Drosophila melanogaster: one gene and its partner. The protein of the gene in region 1 binds, or shares a complex with, the protein of each later gene. Each region holds a gene or a part of one and is shown in the gene's direction. Other genes may lie near its edges.

Region 1 (3,454 bases):
GTCGTCCTTGGCGCTCTTGTCCGGCACCAGCAGCTGCTGGCCCGGATAGATGAAGGAGCTGTTCAGCCGGTTGAGGTGGGTCAGCTCCGAGGGCGTGGTGTCGAACCGGGCGGCCACGGAGGTCAGGGTGTCGCGATTGCCCACGGTGTAGGAAATGGTGGGTATGGTGGGCAATGAAGACTTTTGCCCTGCGGAACGAAAAGAAATCATAATTAATAATGGCATCGTATCGCTGGAGGTACGTGCTCGCAGTTCTTTACTCGGAGGATCGTGCTTCTTCGGGGCACGCTGCTGGAAGACCTCGAAAGAGTCGCCATCGGGTCGCAAGTGCGAGCAGATCACACCTGTGGGCGGAACCTGCTGCCGGCAGTGGTAGATAACCGAGAACTCGTTGGTTGGCATGTGCCAGTATATCTCAATCAATTCCACCATTTCTAGCCCTGTATCATACGGTTTTTTTGTATCGTTAAAACTGCGGGCTCATCAGTTTTCTCGAACTGTCACAATTACATTCATACATGTAATCAACTATCAGCGCTGTTAGCTTTGGCGCGCACTTTCAAACGGGAGGTGCGATAAGAATTTGTTTATAGGTACCCCCCGGTTGGCGCACAATTCCCTGAATCAACTTCAAACTAATGCCAGTAAGTAAGTATGTTTTTTTTTTTAATGAAAATTATTTTATGATTATGTTAAGAATGCCTCTGGTTTAGGCACTAAAATTGAATGTAACGCGCAAAGTACAATCTGTTCTGATATATCGGAATCGGAATACTGTAGAATTAAAAAAAAAAACACCCTTTTTGCTAGCTGATTTGATTCAATATGTACACTTTTCTAATAATACATCGATTTTACATAGAGTGTGAGCATGAGCGACACCTGGCGGCAGAATACCCTAGCGTTGACTTGAGGAACCTACGAGTTCTACACAAATTTTACATTCATATTACATATAAGTTTAAATTGAACTATTTTAATTGAAAGTGAGTGGATACAGGGGGCTTAAGCCGGGGTTCAGCAAGGATCCTTCCCGAAATAAGTATTTGTTTTGAGAAATACAAAATGATTTTCATATAATTCTGCATCCATCTGCTGCCCTAACCAAAGATTCTCCATCGGTTTAAGTCTGTCTAATTAAATTATACTTATTTGAATAGTGACTTACTTGATAATTTGTCGACGCTCTCGAAGCGCTGCTCCACTTTGGAGCGGAGCGAGTCCAAGTCGAATGGAGCCGCAAGGCCGTGATCCACGCTGCGCGATTTGCTCCTGGAAAAGTGGGAGAGTGGTTGTAAATCGGTTGGGAATGGAATATTTGGGCTTGTAGCGATCGGAGCGCAATCTGTTGCGATCCTTATCACTTACAAATTTCCAGCTCGAATTGTGACCATAACCGGGTAATAACAATTTATTTATTGGCAGCCCGTTTGCCTTTTTTATTCAACCTTTTTGTTGTGCAATTGCTATCGTTTTGTAATGATTATCTTGACGATCAGCGAGTGTCCAAATACGGCAAAACGACGCATTTTAAATGTTTTTTTAAACGGTTTTTGATCTGTTTTGTTTTTTGTTAGATCAGCCTTTAAACAATTGGCGAGAAGTCACGATTTTCATGTGACTTGTCCTTAGGTGTTCGATAGAATTAAATCGGAAAAGTATGAAGTATAAGTAATTTGTAAGGAATAACACACGTGTCGAGTGCTTCTAATTACTGATTCTAATTTTAAAATGTAATTTTTTCTATTTGCTTTAAAAGTTTTTTAATGAAACTTTGAATTGAAAATCGCTCTCAAGGAGGCTTTGACTTGTCCATCTATTCTGCTGTGTGTGTCTGTCACCCCATCAATTTTATCGACTGAACTCTCCTGAGTCCGATAATCAACTGACATGGCGGAGTACGGTCGGGAGCCTTGTCCCTTTCGCATTGTCGAGGATTGTGGTGGAGCCTTCGCAATGGGCGCCTTGGGCGGAGGAGCCTTCCAGGCGATCAAGGGCTTTCGAAACGCCCCCTCCGGCCTGGGATACCGATTGAGCGGAGGATTGGCGGCGGTACGGGCTCGATCCGGCCTGGTGGGTGGTAACTTTGCGGTGTGGGGCGCTACCTTCAGCGCCATCGACTGCTCACTGGTTTACTTCCGGAAGAAGGAGGACCCGTGGAACGCCATAATTAGTGGAGCAACCACCGGGGGCATTCTTGCTGCTAGAACTGGTGAGTTTTAAAGTTTTTTTTTTCAGACAAATGCATTAACAATTAGTAAACCAGGCTGGTTTTCAATGCTTTCTCAGGACTTTTATATCCTTATATCCTTTTTGCCTTGTTTTTCTTTCTGCTTAACTTTATGGCTATTATCGCACGAATATGCGAATATTTACTTTTTTGCTTATTCCTCTTTTTGGCAGGACTAACCTCCATGCTCAGTAGTGCCTTGGTGGGCGGGGCTCTATTGGCCCTAATAGAGGGCGTGGGCATTGTGGTGTCCCATTATTCGGCGGATTCCTACCGCCAGGTGTCGCCCGTGGAGCGGCAGCAACGGTATAAGCAGGAGCTTTTACGGCAGCAAAAGGGCGTTTCTCCACTCGCAGCGACTTATGGAGAGGTAAGTGAAATCCCCTGCGCAATAATACGCCTCAATAATTCCGCCACTCACACTCTTTAATTCCAGATTGACTCTTCGGCATTGTAGAATTCTTCGCTGCGTCATCGCCTAGTCGTCGCTATCCATCCGCGAACGCGTGGATCGACGATTGCATACCAATTTATAAAAGATTGCTTTGATTGTTCGAATCTGATACTGGCGGCATTCCCATTTCAATTTAAATTCAATTGTCGTACAGTGCAAGTTTTAGAATCATAAATATATTTTGCTTCGGCATATTTATATAGACAGTCTGAAGTCCAGCCGAAGTGTGGTGGCTTTTTGGGAGGCGCGTGTGCTTCAAAGCTCCATACTTGAAATTCCAAACTTATTTGGGGTTTCCTCCTACAAAACTCCTTTGATCAAGCCAGAAACTCGAACCTTAATATATCTAAGCCTAAATATTCCACTTTATAATGCTTGTTTCTGCACCCGTGGAGTCAGTGGATTCTACTAGATTCCTAGAAAAGTGTGTAACAGACAAATGGATTTTATTTATTTTGTTTTTGTCTGCTACTTCAATCGATATGCCAACAACATATTGAAGTTTCTCACTAGCTAAATCAAGGGTACTCTACTATATATCATTAGATTTTCTTAAGTTACACTTTGAATCGTTCCTTTTTTTTAAAAGGTTGCTAGTGCTTATCTTTATTAAAACATCTCTTCTGCACTACATTCCTCTTTCTGCACTCACATAAGAGCAGTTTTCCCTATTATTGCGTTCCCGTTTGATTGGCAAAACTAATTTCCGTTACGATTTCGGGCGGGAAAATAGGGTTTCCTCTGCCCAGATAGTTGTATCACCGTGACAA
Region 2 (3,754 bases), on another chromosome or scaffold:
CTTAAAACTTGTTATTGTGCGAAGGAAAGTACCGAAAATAAAAGCGAATTGAACTAAAACTAAATGTCCCGATTTGTACATTAAGCCGATAGTATAAGCGATCTAGCTTCAGGTCTCCACATTCTCGTCCTGCTCCTCCAGTTGGACACCCACTTCATGCTCGGCCCGCCTCCGCTGTCTGCCCGCCTTGTGCGACTGGCGATGGATGGCGAGTGAGATGCGGCGCTTGAAGGACTTGCCGCACTGCTCACAGCCGAACGGTCGCTCGCTGCTGTGGACGAGCATGTGGCGGTTGAGCTCGGATGTGCTGCCGAAGCTGCGCTTCTGGCACACCGGGCACGGGTGGGGCTTCTCCTGGCTGTGGCAGCGCTTGTGGGCAATCAGATTGCTCGAGTAGCGGAAGCGACGGCCGCAAATGTCGCAGCCGTGCGGCTTCTCGCCCGTGTGGGTGAGCATGTGCTTCTTGTAGCCCGACTTCTGTGTTAGCCTCTTGCCGCAGATGCTGCACTCGAATGGCTTGATTCCGCTGTGGATTAGAAGGTGTGTGCGCAGCGAGGACGCCTGCCGGTAGACCTTGAAGCAGGTGGGGCACCTGTTCGGATTGTTACGATCGTGCAGCGTGACATGGCCGTCGCGGGCGTTTCGCGTCTTAAAGGACTCTCCGCAGATTGTGCAAACGTAGGGCGTGGCCGTGCCATGTAGCTGCATATGGTACTTGAAGGAGTTGTTGGTGCTTAGTTGCTTGCCACAGATCTAAAGGAATGGAGGGAGAATTGATGACCTTCGGCTTTGAGTTATTTGCGAGCTGCGATGACCAACTTACTTTACACTGTAGGGAGGGATTGAGGGGTTTCCAAGGCCGGCTTCCACTGGGCAAAGTTTTCTGCGTCGCCGAAGTCTGTGCTGATTTCTCCACAATCTCGTAGACATCTTCGCCAGCTTTGGCCTGCAAAACGGGCTCCACTTGGAGGCACTCTTCAATGCAGTGGTCGTTGTCTTCTTGGCGAATTTTTGGCTGGCCATGTAGCCTCATGTGGTACTGAAAGGTCCGCTTCCTAGCCAGTTGTTTGCCGCAAATCTGCCGAAGATGGGAAACTATTTCGTGATTACTTACTTCTAATTCGGAAAGGCAACTCACGGGACATTGCAGCGCTGGCTCGGATCTTTCTAACCTGCTCCTACGTTGCTCCGGATCCGGATCGTCGACAATCTCGCAGAGATCGTCTTCGTGCTGTTCCAGTGCAATATCCAGCCTCTCCTCCTGTACAATTGGCGCTTCCAGCCGGCTCTCCGCCTCATCTGATTCTACGACCAGGAGTTGCTCCTCATCTCGTATCGTTTCTGCTGGATATTCAGTCACTTCCTGGTCATCGAGCACGAGTACAAAATCCTCCGGAATCTCGGTTGACAGCCTGGCCCTAGTATTCACCGCGCTGATCTTTTTGCTGCGGCAAAAGTCCGCATGACTCTGCCGCAGAATTCTGTCCATGCGATGGACACTCCGCTTGAATTCCAGCGAGAGCCGCAACTTGGCCACGCAGTCCGGGCAGATGTGGTGGGGCAGGAAGAGCTCCGCCTCTAGGATCTCCAGACCGCTGCAGTAGCTTAAAATGCTGGCCAGCGTCGCTGGTTTGCCGGAAATTGGATCGTCGAGCGGTTTGAAGAGCGGCAGGCAGCGCGGCGATGCTGTGTGGCACACGCGGCACAAGGCGTCCATGGGGGACGGCGGCGACATGGTCGTCATGGATTGAACTCGACAGTAGATAATACACGTTTAAATAAATAACTTAATTTAGCGTCCCGAACAGTGATGCCAAAGTCCAGCTGATGCGTTAGTGGTGGCACTCAAAATAGCTAGCCAGGCACATCAGCTTGGAAGTGACCAGAGGCACAGTGGCTTGGTGGTTGGTCAAAGGTTGTGTATTTCCATATTATTTAAAATATTTTAATTTAAAATTTTCTTAATACTGTGATTAGTCAGATTGCCGGAGGCAACATATGTACACACGCAGTTATCTGCAAAATCCCGCCAGATTTGGCTTGAAAATCGCCGATCTATACCTGCTGAGAGCCACGTGCTAAATGTACTAACGCCTGGTGCCGCCTGGCAGTGGACAGTATATAAAATCCCTAACGCCAACGCCGTGCCGGTGGGAAGTTGAAATTTTTGTTGGAATTTTTTATAAGTAAAAAGTCGCTGCCATCCGAGCAGGACTCGTGAACGGCTCTAGGACTCGATATCGGGAAGGAAGGGGGAAGCATGAGCATGAGCATGGCACCGGCCACCGTCCTCCAGTTGCTGCGCGGCCTTAGCACGCCGCGTCTTCTTACCCACATCCACCAGCACCGCGCATTGGGTAATCACTACCACCACTACCACCAACACTACCAGCACCAGCACCACCTCCTCCACCACCAGCAGCAGTACCTCCGACTATTCACTTGCACAGCACTGCCAGCGGCTGCTCCGGCGCTCTTCTCGATCCTGCACACAGCGCGTGGCTACAGCAGCACAACCAGTAAGTGATTCACGGTAGAGTCCTAAACAGTAGAGTCCTAAACATTCATCCTTGGCCACTTTCGTTTCGCAGAGCAGGAAGCTGGAGCCACTGGCCCCAATGATGCGCCCGAGGTCGCACCGAATGCCCCGCTGCTGGCCAAGCTCTTTCCTCAGACCTCGCCGGAGGTGGACAGCAACGCCGAGCAGGAGCGCAAGAAGCGCGAGGAGGAGGAGGAAAAGGAGAACGAGCGTGCCTGGAAGCGCATGAAGCTGGGGTAAGCTGACGCCCATTCAATGCGTAACAGTATTATAACAATACTTCCTGCTGCAGCTTTGCAATATTCGGAGGCAGCGCCGTGGCTGCTGGATTCTGGGCCGTCTACGAGTTCGGCAAGCCCGAGGTGGACCCCAACGGGCAGCCCATCGAGGACGAGTTCACACACAAGCCGCTGGTACAGCAGTATCTGCAGCGGATGTGGAAGAGCATTCACTACTATCAGCGCATGATCCAGGAGCCGTCGCGCGCCAAACTGCTGCCCGATCCGCTCAAGCCGCCGTACGTGCAGCCGCGCTACACGCTTGTGCTGGAGATGAAGGACGTGCTGGTGCATCCGGACTGGACTTACCAAACTGGCTGGCGCTTCAAGAAGCGTCCCGGCGTCGACCACTTTCTGGCCGAGTGCGCCAAGGACTTTGAAATTGTCGTCTTCACCGCCGAACAGGGCATGACCGTGTTCCCCATCCTGGATGCCCTCGATCCCAACGGCTACATTATGTACCGCCTGGTCAGGGATGCCACGCACTTTGTGGACGGCCATCATGTGAAGAACCTGGACAACCTTAATCGCGACCTCAAGAAGGCAAGTCATGCACAACGTATTTTCTATTGCAATCATCTATAAAGAAGGGAGTATTTTAGGTGATTGTTGTGGACTGGGATGCGAATGCCACCAAGATGCATCCGGACAACACATTCGGCTTGGCCCGCTGGCATGGCAACGACGATGATGGCCAACTGCTGGACCTTATCGCTTTCCTAAAGAGTAAGTTGCGCCACAAGTGACATTGAAAGCTAAACACTGACCCTTGCAATTCGCTACAGTAATTGCGCAGAACAACGTGGACGACGTGCGCGAGGTGCTCCACTACTATCGCCAGTTCGACGATCCCATCAACCAGTTCCGGGAGAACCAGCGCAAGCTGGCCGAACAAATGCTGGAGGCGGAACGCATCGAGCAGTCCAAGACCAAGCCA

The links. Proteins that work in one complex are often made in the same cells at the same time.
Region 2: Tim17b1 (region 1) and ttm50 share a complex: the UniProt entries of both Drosophila melanogaster proteins name them as parts of the TIM23 complex.

The regions. Positions count from the first base shown.
Region 1 is NT_033777.3:5,298,302-5,301,755, forward strand, and holds Tim17b1 (Tim17b1), read left to right. Parts: upstream 1-1,843; 5' UTR 1,844-1,890; coding exon 1,891-2,212; intron 2,213-2,403; coding exon 2,404-2,600; intron 2,601-2,666; coding exon 2,667-2,687; 3' UTR 2,688-2,885; downstream 2,886-3,454. Other genes in the region: mtd (mustard), read right to left, coding at 1-188, 1,169-1,272. UniProt on the Drosophila melanogaster protein: Essential component of the TIM23 complex, a complex that mediates the translocation of transit peptide-containing proteins across the mitochondrial inner membrane.
Region 2 is NC_004354.4:2,730,555-2,734,308, reverse strand, and holds the start of ttm50 (tiny tim 50), read left to right. Parts: upstream 1-2,118; 5' UTR 2,119-2,260; coding exon 2,261-2,519; intron 2,520-2,591; coding exon 2,592-2,775; intron 2,776-2,831; coding exon 2,832-3,360; intron 3,361-3,419; coding exon 3,420-3,543; intron 3,544-3,602; coding exon 3,603-3,754. Other genes in the region: CG2712 (uncharacterized protein), read right to left, coding at 109-753, 824-1,078, 1,139-1,744. UniProt on the Drosophila melanogaster protein: Essential component of the TIM23 complex, a complex that mediates the translocation of transit peptide-containing proteins across the mitochondrial inner membrane.